3 linked regions of the Arabidopsis thaliana genome follow. Each later gene encodes a partner of the first gene's protein in a complex. Each region holds a gene or a part of one and is shown on either strand. Other genes may lie near its edges.

What was found.
Region 2: ELF7 (region 1) and VIP3 share a complex: the UniProt entries of both Arabidopsis thaliana proteins name them as parts of the nuclear PAF1 complex.
Region 3: ELF7 (region 1) and VIP4 share a complex: the UniProt entries of both Arabidopsis thaliana proteins name them as parts of the nuclear PAF1 complex.

Annotation. Positions count from the first base shown.
Region 1 is NC_003070.9:30,002,440-30,006,191, reverse strand, and holds the start of ELF7 (hydroxyproline-rich glycoprotein family protein), read left to right. Parts: upstream 1-2,108; 5' UTR 2,109-2,222; coding exon 2,223-2,818; intron 2,819-2,896; coding exon 2,897-2,965; intron 2,966-3,045; coding exon 3,046-3,153; intron 3,154-3,237; coding exon 3,238-3,418; intron 3,419-3,507; coding exon 3,508-3,584; intron 3,585-3,667; coding exon 3,668-3,752. Other genes in the region: AT1G79740 (hAT transposon superfamily), read left to right, coding at 1-1,118, 1,425-1,825. UniProt on the Arabidopsis thaliana protein: Component of the PAF1 complex (PAF1C) which is involved in histone modifications such as methylation on histone H3 'Lys-4' (H3K4me3). Involved in regulation of flowering time.
Region 2 is NC_003075.7:14,595,616-14,599,367, forward strand, and holds VIP3 (Transducin/WD40 repeat-like superfamily protein), read left to right. Parts: upstream 1-1,943; 5' UTR 1,944-2,112; coding exon 2,113-2,451; exon of another isoform or gene 2,452-2,608; intron 2,609-2,915; coding exon 2,916-3,542; 3' UTR 3,543-3,685; downstream 3,686-3,752. Other genes in the region: homolog of CFIM-25, read right to left, coding at 432-503, 637-747, 848-934, 1,023-1,096, 1,187-1,280, 1,381-1,426, 1,518-1,702. UniProt on the Arabidopsis thaliana protein: Component of the PAF1 complex (PAF1C) which is involved in histone modifications such as methylation on histone H3 'Lys-4' (H3K4me3). Involved in regulation of flowering time. Required for the expression of the flowering repressor and MADS box gene FLC.
Region 3 is NC_003076.8:24,605,649-24,609,400, reverse strand, and holds the start of VIP4 (leo1-like family protein), read left to right. Parts: upstream 1-1,675; 5' UTR 1,676-1,872; coding exon 1,873-1,989; intron 1,990-2,252; coding exon 2,253-2,584; intron 2,585-2,753; coding exon 2,754-2,883; intron 2,884-3,006; coding exon 3,007-3,207; intron 3,208-3,529; coding exon 3,530-3,706; intron 3,707-3,752. Other genes in the region: AACT1 (anthocyanin 5-aromatic acyltransferase 1), read right to left, coding at 1-620. UniProt on the Arabidopsis thaliana protein: Component of the PAF1 complex (PAF1C) which is involved in histone modifications such as methylation on histone H3 'Lys-4' (H3K4me3). Involved in regulation of flowering time. Required for the expression of the flowering repressor and MADS box gene FLC.

The sequences.
Region 1 (3,752 bases):
TGCTCCTTCTCCCAAGACTGAATGGCTGGACAGGGTTAAGTCAGATATTAGCTTACAACTGAAAGACACTGAAAAGGAGTGGGTCACCACCGGCTGTACTATCATCGCTGAGGCATGGACCGACAACAAATCACGAGCACTGATTAACTTCTCCGTCTCTTCACCTTCCAGAATCTTTTTTCACAAGTCTGTCGACGCCTCCTCATATTTCAAGAACTCAAAATGCCTTGCTGATCTCTTTGATTCTGTCATCCAAGATATTGGTCAGGAGCATATTGTGCAAATCATTATGGACAACAGCTTCTGCTACACTGGTATCTCAAACCATCTCTTGCAAAACTATGCAACCATTTTCGTCTCCCCCTGTGCATCTCAGTGTTTGAACATCATCTTAGAAGAATTCTCCAAGGTTGATTGGGTCAATCAATGTATATCGCAAGCGCAGGTCATATCTAAGTTTGTCTACAACAATAGCCCCGTGCTAGATTTATTGAGAAAGTTAACAGGCGGGCAAGATATTATCCGAAGCGGTGTCACAAGGTCTGTCTCCAATTTTCTATCATTACAGTCAATGATGAAACAAAAGGCAAGGCTAAAACACATGTTCAATTGCCCAGAGTATACCACAAATACTAACAAACCACAGAGCATTTCATGCGTGAATATCCTAGAGGATAATGATTTCTGGAGAGCTGTGGAAGAAAGTGTGGCTATTTCCGAGCCTATCCTGAAAGTGTTGAGGGAAGTTTCTACTGGAAAGCCCGCTGTAGGTTCTATATACGAGTTAATGTCCAAGGCCAAGGAGTCAATACGGACATACTACATCATGGATGAGAATAAGCATAAGGTCTTTTCTGACATAGTTGATACTAACTGGTGTGAGCATTTGCATTCACCTCTTCATGCAGCAGCAGCATTCTTGAACCCCAGTATTCAGTATAACCCAGAGATAAAGTTCCTCACTTCCTTGAAAGAAGATTTTTTCAAAGTGTTGGAGAAACTTCTTCCTACTAGCGATCTACGGCGTGATATTACAAATCAGATATTCACTTTCACTAGGGCAAAGGGAATGTTCGGCTGTAACCTGGCCATGGAGGCGAGGGATTCAGTTTCACCAGGTATGGACAATAAATACATTTATATTTTCTTTAAGTCATGACTAGTGAACAGAGATGTATAGGTAGTCTGAGTCGGGAGAAAAATAATCCACTTATCTATGACCGCAATTAAAGCTATGGTCTTATTACACAACTAAATAAGTCCAGGTTGATATAGCCTGGCACGTAGTAAACCGAATTGCAAAACTAGTAGATATCTTCCCCTCACCAGGCTATTAGGGGTATGGTCTGGGATCTTTAGAATTGGTAACGAAGCACTAGAAGACTAGAAGTTGATGTCTAATAATGGTTTGCTTAGTAATGCAGGTCTCTGGTGGGAGCAGTTTGGTGACTCAGCACCTGTTTTGCAGCGGGTGGCCATCAGAATACTAAGCCAAGTTTGCAGCGGTTACAACTTGGAACGCCAATGGAGCACATTCCAGCAGATGCACTGGGAAAGGCGAAACAAGATTGACAGAGAAATATTGAACAAGTTGGCGTACGTGAATCAGAATCTAAAGTTAGGGAGGATGATAACCTTGGAGACAGACCCAATTGCCCTGGAGGACATTGACATGATGTCGGAGTGGGTGGAAGAGGCAGAGAATCCCAGTCCTGCCCAGTGGCTTGACCGTTTTGGGACCGCCCTTGATGGAGGCGACTTGAACACCAGGCAGTTTGGCGGTGCTATTTTCAGTGCCAACGACCATAACATCTTCGGCTTGTGAAGTCCTGGTAAGAGGTTTTCATAAGTTGGTCCAGCGTGTTGAGTGTTTAACCACACACCTCGGTTCGCTATACTGTACATAATGTTTGAGTAATTATCAATGTAGAAAATAAATATTTTGTGTTCCTCACACAGTCACACGTCGATGAGCTTGGTGGTACAAAGCATGTTTCGTTCATATTTGGGATTCATAAAACGGTGAGCTTAAGATTGTTTTTGTTTGTATTGAAGCCGTAATTATCAGAACCCATATGATAGTAGCGGTTATTGGGCCGCTAGTGAGGCCCAAATTAAAGTAAAAAGGAAAAATCAGTCTGACCGGAGCTATATAATTAATATATATCAAGAAGACTCGTTTTAGTTGGTTTAGGTGATTCAGATCACAAAGTACACCGAGAATGGCGTCGTACCGGCCGCCGTATCCTCCTCTTCCTCAGCCACCATCTCAAAATTCTTTGGCCCCTCCGCCTCCCCCGCCGTCGTTACCCCCTCCTGTTCCTCCCCCACCACCGTCGCATCAACCGTACTCATATCCTCCGCCGCCGCCTCCTCCTCCGCATGCTTACTATCAGCAGGGGCCCCACTATCCTCAATTCAACCAGCTCCAAGCTCCTCCTCCTCCGCCACCTCCCTCAGCTCCTCCTCCGCTCGTTCCCGATCCTCCTCGACACCAGGGTCCCAATGACCACGAGAAAGGGGCCTCCAAGCAGGTTGGAAGGCGGGAGCGTGCTAAACCGGATCCATCGAAGCACCACCACAGGTCTCATCTTCCTCATTCTAAGAAAATCGAGACCGAAGAAGAGAGGAGGCTTAGGAAGAAGAGGGAGTTAGAGAAACAAAGGCAAGACGAAAAACATAGACAGCAGATGAAAAATTCTCACAAGTCTCAGATGCCCAAGGGACACACCGAGGAGAAGAAGCCGACGCCCCTACTCACCACCGACAGGGTCGAGAATAGGTTAAAGAAACCAACCACCTTCATCTGCAAGCTCAAGTCAGTATTCTTCAAACGACTACCTAAATCTTTTTTACATATTATTGTTAGACTCTGATATTCATCTTCTTCTTCAAGGTTCCGGAATGAGCTCCCTGACCCTAGTGCACAGCTTAAGCTTATGACCATTAAACGGGATAAAGATCAGTATGTTTCTCTATTATTGCCAAATTTTATTTCTGTGTTATTCTACTGTCCTTACTTGCCAGCTATTTTGATCCCACTAGATTTACAAAGTATACCATCACATCCCTGGAGAAATTATGGAAACCAAAAATCTTTGTCGAGCCTGATCTTGGAATACCCTTGGATCTGCTTGACCTAAGTGTGTACAAGTATGTGCTCTCAATAAAGTCTTAGTGTCTTTAATGCCAGCGACCTCATCTACTGGGGATACTTACTGTTGTAGCTCTTTTCAGCCCTCCCAAAGTCAAGGCACCTCTTGCCCCTGAAGATGAAGAACTCTTGCGTGATGATGACGCTGTTACACCTATTAAGAAAGATGGCATCCGGAGGAAAGAAAGACCTACTGATAAAGGCATGTCTTGGCTCGTCAAAACACAATACATTTCTTCTATTAATAACGAATCGGCAAGACAGGTATCTATCCATCTCGCTTGTTGGAAATTTGTTTTGCCATGTATAGCTTCTAGAGACAGTTTCCAATTTCCTATGTTTACCTTGTGTAGTCGCTAACGGAGAAGCAAGCAAAGGAACTGCGAGAGATGAAAGGAGGCATCAACATCTTGCACAATCTTAACAATAGGTGTGTTGTTTCTCAAATATGTGTATTTCTAAGGAAAGTGAGAAAAAAAAAGGTCTAATGGTTTATTTTTCTTTGGTCTCTAGAGAGAGACAAATCAAGGATATTGAAGCATCCTTTGAGGCATGCAAGTCTCGACCAGTTCATGCCACCAATAAAAACTTGCAGCCG
Region 2 (3,752 bases), on another chromosome or scaffold:
TAGAAAGTTTTCAATATTTCAAATATTGTTTGATCAAATACAATAAACACATATAACAAACAGTAAAATCTTTACTTATGTTTCTCGGTTTCATGTTTGAAGATAACAAGGTTTTCTTCAACAAGGAATATACAAATAAGCATACACCCCTATATTTGTTTTACTCATGTATACATTCAATTACACATCGAAATTATCACACAAAGAAAAATTGTTTCGAATTGATTAATCTATCTATCAGTATACTTCATGTCTAGTCTCTATAACCAACAAGAACATGCTATTCTTCAACATTGTCTATATATTATAAGCCCTATATACATTATATAGTCACAGACTCAGAGAGGCTCCACAAACGATTTCCCCAAACATAATCCTATCACAAATTGCGGGGGGCAAGAGCTACTAGAGGCAATGATCATGAGGTTCGTTCATATCTCCATCATGTTGAAGGAGAATTTCGAAAGAAGCTTAGGAATTTGCGACATGATCGGCCCATAAGTCTGCAACGCATAAATGAAACATCACAACACATAATTAAATACAGCTTGATTGACTGACCCTGTTAGTTTTACCAGGAACATCGATTAAAAGTTCACGATGAGTTAAGGGCAATGCAAGTAAGATAGTACATACCTTTTCATTTTCATGGAGTTGACACAATGGAACAGCGAGGAGTTTGAAGTTCTTAGGCACAACAAACTGTTGATGTACCGGTAATCTCACAAGAAAAAGCTTTGTGCATTCCTACACAAAAGATGAGGATAGAGCAGAGCTTTTAGTATAAGCGCAAATCTTCAAAAGTCTCAACTTTTTCTTACAATGAAAGTGAAACTAACTAACCAACCTTTGGGTGTTTAATATTAGGTGGCAAGAAAGGATACATCAATGTCTCAAAGTTGGGTCTCCACCACATCCCAATACATTCTCCTACCTACAACAATGTTGTAATTAGAGAGACCATTCTTAAGCCAGAAACAATCAGATACAAAAGCACTTTAACAAGAAGCCATAGTTCCTACCTCATAACCCGAAACACCCACATTTTCGTTAACCGATAGCTTTGATGCTAGTTTCCGTTTTAGACCTTCAATATCTAGAAGATTAAGGAGAAACATGACTTTAGCGTTTAGAATTGAGACAGCGATATTTATGCATAAAGATGCAAGGAAACAGCATACTAAACCTGATTCTCCAGGTCTCAAACGACCACCAGGAAGCTTGAAAATGGAGTTTCTATATTGAAGAAGCAAAACATGAGGATGCTTGAACAACTCAACCTGATGTGTCCCAACATTAGATTTTAATCAATCCTTTCAAACCAATTTTCCCTGTAAAACTTTTCAAAATCCCTAATTTGGCTACCAACTATAAAATTACCAGAAGAACAGCTTCAACGCAAGTTCTCAATCCATGAGCAGCATAACTTCAAAAGAAACAAAAAAGAAACTTTAGCTATAGATTAAAACAATAAGAAAAAAACCAGATGATCTAAATCACATCAAAACTCGATTTACTTGGATTTCAATCTGATGACTCGATCAGAGATAATCTCGTCCTTGACGCGAAGAGCTTCTTTTGAACCGAAGTAGTAGCTGCTAAGCGGGTATAAATCAACCATCAAGTCATGAACGACATCGTTTCGTCTCGTCGTGTTGTCACTGATCTCCTCCATATCTAACGCTCGAGCTTCTTCACCCATTTTCTGCCCGTAAAATTCAAAGACGAGAGCTAAAAGCGATCTCAATCGATTAAAATTAAATAACAGAGAGACCACGAGAGCAGAGAAGACGCAAGAAGAAGAGTGAAGAAAGGTGTCGTAGTCGGATCACTGAGACGTGGCGGCTCCAGAGAGTACTTCTCCGCAATTAGCTGACGACGGCGGGAGAGTGAGGAAGAAGATATTAATGGGCCTGTTACGATATTAATGGGCCTTTAGTAGTAAACAAGAATACGGAACGATGTTAAACACTCTATTGTTTCCAACTACTAAAAACGACGCGAGTTTCTATTTTATAACTAAAAAACGAGAATCAAAGTCTCTGTTTCAAATTTGGGTCTTTTGCTTCTTCTTGCTCACTTGAGGAAACACAGTAAAAACCTAAAAAGAGAATGAAACTCGCAGGTCTGAAATCGATCGAGAACGCTCACGAAGATTCCGTTTGGGCAGCGACGTGGGTTCCGGCGACGGAAGATCGACCGGCGTTGCTTCTGACTGGATCTCTTGACGAGACGGTGAAGTTATGGCGACCGGACGAGCTGGATCTTGTGCGGACTAATACTGGACACTCTTTGGGAGTAGCAGCTTTGGCTGCGCATCCTTCTGGGATTATTGCAGCATCTTCTTCGATTGATAGCTTTGTCCGTGTGTTTGATGTTGATACTAATGCTACGATTGCTGTTTTGGAAGCTCCTCCTTCTGAGGTTTGGGGAATGCAATTTGAACCTAAGGTAATTGACTCAATGAGATTGCCTCCAATTTTAGGGTTTTGAAGGATTTTGGGTTGTTTTGTGGTGAAAGAATTCGATTGCTTCATTGAATTTCACTTCTTAGTTGCGAGTAATGCTTCTCCTGATCTATATAACAATGCTTGGGTACTATATGGAATTGCTGAGTATCGTTTGAATCTGTAGCTCTGATCAGATAGGGTCATCTACTCTGCTCGGAAAATAGATCTAGATCATCTTCTGATTTTTCATTGAGTCTTATATAGTAGATTAAGAACAATTTATTGGTGCTTTGATGATAAATCTTGATTTGGTATGATAGAATTTTGACCTGGTGACTATCAAGTATCAGTGCAATGATCTCTCTTTTAGTTTGCAGTGGAGTTTTTATTTGCTTCTGAGCTTATAATTTCAACATTACTCTTTAGAATGGTGCTCTGCTAACATAGTATTTTACATGTTCCAAGGGTACGATCCTTGCTGTTGCAGGTGGAAGTAGTGCCTCAGTCAAGCTTTGGGACACTGCAAGCTGGAGATTAATCTCAACTCTATCAATCCCACGCCCAGATGCACCAAAACCTTCCGATAAAACCAGCAGCAAGAAATTCGTTCTCTCGGTGGCTTGGTCTCCTAATGGGAAACGACTTGCTTGTGGTTCAATGGATGGTACGATCTGTGTTTTTGATGTTGACCGCTCAAAGCTACTTCACCAGCTAGAAGGTCACAATATGCCTGTAAGGTCCCTTGTGTTCTCCCCTGTAGACCCGAGAGTCCTCTTCTCTGGATCAGATGATGGGCATGTGAACATGCACGATGCAGAAGGGAAAACGCTGTTGGGGTCCATGTCAGGGCACACGAGTTGGGTGCTGAGCGTTGATGCTAGCCCAGACGGTGGAGCCATAGCAACCGGCTCAAGCGATAGAACTGTGAGGCTATGGGATCTTAAAATGAGAGCTGCGATTCAGACAATGAGCAACCACAATGACCAGGTTTGGTCTGTGGCCTTTAGACCACCAGGTGGAACCGGTGTCCGGGCTGGTCGACTTGCTAGTGTCTCTGATGACAAGAGTGTATCGCTCTATGATTACTCATGAACAATTCGGTTTTTTGACTTTTTTCTTTTATGCATTCTCCAAGACGCATCTAGTTGTAACAATATAATCTGCAACAGGTTGATTTTGACCGGAGTCTTTAGATTTATCGCTTACACAAAAAACAAAGAAGATAAAATGATTCAAACTTTGCGATAGAACTTTATTGGAAAACTGAGAAACAGATAAAGATCACAGAGAGATGAGTTGAAG
Region 3 (3,752 bases), on another chromosome or scaffold:
TCAAGTCCGGCTGGAACATTGACGACAGAACGATCTAAAACCGTTGGTAGAATTTTCGGTATGGTGCCATGTTTACAAGTGTGAGCCCATGCTTTGTTAAATTTTTCAGCCGTTTTGCCGTCCAAGACGACATGGTGGGCTGTGGTTCCAATGCAGAAGCCTTGTTTCGGGAACAAAGTGACTTGCAGAGATACAACAGCCCCCGAGTCAGAATAAATCGGTAGCTCGGGTATTAGAGGGCGTAACTCTAGCTCTGGACGAAGCCCTCTGCCAGAGATACGTGAGAAATCCGCATCAGTCTCAGCCACTGTGAGAGAGAGTGTGTCTCCTGAGAGAACAACTAAATGCGGCTTTGGATCTTGTGAATCCCACTTAAGGTGACCCGTGAATAGGCGAAAGTGAGTGAGGATGAGTGAAAGAGATCGCTCGAGCTTGGGGAGGATGGAGGAGTAGAAAACGTCGCGAGATGATGATGATTCGGTGAGTTTGTAAAAGAAGACTTGCTCGGTAGGGTTGAGTTTAAGCCACTGTAAATCAAAGAACGAGAGTGGGACAATGAGCGGGTCGACGGAGGCGGTTGCAGGGCTGACTCGGGAGATCTTGATCACCTTTAACGCCATTTCTCACTTGTACTCTCGTCTTTTAGATAATATTCCTTTGTACGTATGAGTTTATTCAGCTGAGTATCAGATGGAGTTAACTCTTATACTAACATAACAAGCTACCGAGTCAGCCCTAGTCAAAAACGTTGGTTGGAAGCCAAGGCACGTAATTACCATTTGAATTATTTTGGTCCCTCCAGAGGCGGCCAGGCGGCTTAAGCCAACTGCGACTGCCAGATATCATAGATAAAAATTGTTATATATATATATATATATATATATATATAAAATATATAATTTTATTTTTGTGGTTTATATTTATTATTTTTGGTGGTAAAAACATTCTTAGAAGATAAATTTTTGTAGATAAAAGGCTGAAAAATAAATTTATGGAAAATATATAAATAAACATTTGTGAGCAAAATGTGTCTACATAAAATTGTAATTTTCTCGAGTTAAAAAAAAGCAAAAAGTGAAATTTCCAAAAGCCTTAAACTAGTTTGAGTAATTTAAAAGTGTCCATAGTTTTTTCTTTTTTCTTTTTATTCCATAATTTCTTGAGTTTTTCAGAAATTACTATAATTCTGTTTAAATTTTCAGGATTTCCTGAATATTCATGATGTTTAGTTGTCACTTAAGTTTTCATAGAACACAAGTCGGTTATGCTTTTACCTAATCTTTGTCTCTTGTTAATTTCTAAAGCAGATAAAATCTATAAACCAACAACAATGTTTTAGAAGAAGACATAACATTTATTTTGGCAACTCAAGTTATTTGATCAAAGAAGTTAATAATTAGTTTTTAAAATAAATTAAATATAAAAAAATAGGGGCCAAAAGAATCAGTTAAAAGGATGTTGTATCATTCATATACATAGGGGCCAAGGCAAACACAAGCTCACTATCACAAAGAAACTGGTATCCATAACCCAAAATTTGTGGGCCAAAAATATTGAATTCCAATCTCAAAAAAGCCCATAAAATCCCATCTTTTTTCCCTCTCTAGTCGTCGTTACACGTAAAAAAAATGATTTTTAATAATCCGGTAATGCGTTAAAAAAGATATATCGATGAAAATTTCCTTTTCTTTGTAAGTTGTAACAATTGTTTTTAATAATAATAATTCTGATGCCATAAAATCGCGAGGTAGAGATGAAAAAAAAATAGCTTCTTCAACAAAGGCCGATAACAGTGAACCCTTCGTCGGAGCTCAGATCACGAGCCGCCGTCACCAGCTAAGAGGCAGTGACTTTTGAGTAAGTGAGGCGAAGATGGTTAAAGGAGAAAAGAGATCCGAGATGATGCTTAATCTGTTCGGAGATAATTCCGAGGAAGAAGAGATCGAATCCGAACATGAATGCAATCGTCGTCAGCCTAACTACGCTTCCGTAACTCTCTCCATCTTTATCTCCTTCGTTTCGTCACTATTGATTGTTTCAGTTTTCGTATTTTTCACTGCCACTGTTCTTCAATTACACCTTGGAATACGAATGGTTTCTGGAGTTCTTCTCGCTTGAATTTAGGGTTTTAGGTTAATTGCAGGAACCAATGCAACTTATTAGGCCTAATTCAGCTTCAGTTCTTCTTAATATCAACTAGACTAAGATATCAGTGAAATTGTGGCTGAAATTTCCAATGTAAACACTGATAGGATGAGGCTGAGGGCGGGGTGGAGCCTGAAGGAGAAGGTGAAGCTGAGGTTGAAGTTCACGGAGAAGCTGAAGCTGAGTCTGACGGGGAACAGGGAGATGTAGAACTTGATCCTGGAGAAAGTGAGGGTGAGAGGGAGCAAAGTTCACAGGAGGCTGATCCACAAGAGGAAAGTGAAGCAAGAGATAGTGATAGTGATAACAAAGAAGAAGAACATGGGGGTAGAGTAGCCAAAAAGAGGAGACAGGAGGTTGTTGAGAGCGGATCAGAGAGGTCTGGTGAAAAGCATTATGAGTCTGAAGATGAAGAGGTTGATCAGACTAGGAGTCCAAGGTACCCCTTTTTCCATTCTTTTTTTTCCTAGCTGTTTCATAGCTTCTTTTTGATCTTTTCTGTGCTCTGGATTTAATAATACTTGCTAGTCCTCTGAGGTTCCTTGGATTTTCAAATTTCTTATGGATCACTTTGTCTTTTGTACATGGAAATATGGCGTGGTGGGTAGATCACCTAGTGAGGAGAAGGAAGAGGTTCAAGTTGCACAGTCAGACGTAAATATTCGTAATGTTTTCGGATCTTCGGATGATGAAGACGCAGAAGAATATGTTCGGAATGACGTTGAGCAGGATGAACATGTGAGTCTTGCATCTAATATTACATTTCAGTTTACAGAATATCTGTTTCCTTTCCAGTGTTTGCTTCCTTTTAGAAACCATATGAAATTGCATGTATGTATGATGAGATGTCTAATTTTGTAGAGATCGCCAATCGAAGATGAAGAGGGCTCTGAGAAGGATCTGAGACCCGATGATATGGTGCTTGATGATATAATCCCTGAAGAAGATCCTCAATACGAGTCAGAAGCTGAACATGTTGAAGCTAGGTACAGGGAGAGGCCAGTTGGTCCCCCTTTGGAAGTGGAGGTTCCTTTCCGCCCTCCTCCAGGTGACCCCGTTAAGGTATACCTGCTTTATGTTGCTAAAAGATTATTCGCTGACATGGCTTCAAATCAATAGTTTCCTTTCTGGTATTTCCAAGTTACCAAAATCTCTCATATCATTGTGGTTCGAAGAGTGAGTATCTGATGTCTTTTATGTGGAGAACCATTGCACTGAAACATGCTTCTACATTTACTTAGCATGAAGGGCCATTTGGTGTACATGAGCGTGCTATTCTGTTTTATATCTGAAACCCCATTTTCTAGTTGTCTATCTGTAGTGAAGATGTTCTGTAGCAAAATTGCGCTTCCTCATATACCGTTTTCTCTTTGATCTTTTTCAGATGAACATGATAAAAGTTTCCAATATCATGGGGATTGATCCAAAGCCTTTTGATGCCAAAACATTCGTTGAAGAAGACACATTCATGACAGATGAACCCGGAGCAAAGAATCGTATCCGTTTGGACAATAATATTGTTCGCCATAGGTTTGTTAAGAGTCGAGATGGCAAAACATATGTAAGTGAACACTTCTTCAAAGCTTTTCTGCTTTTAAATTTTCCAT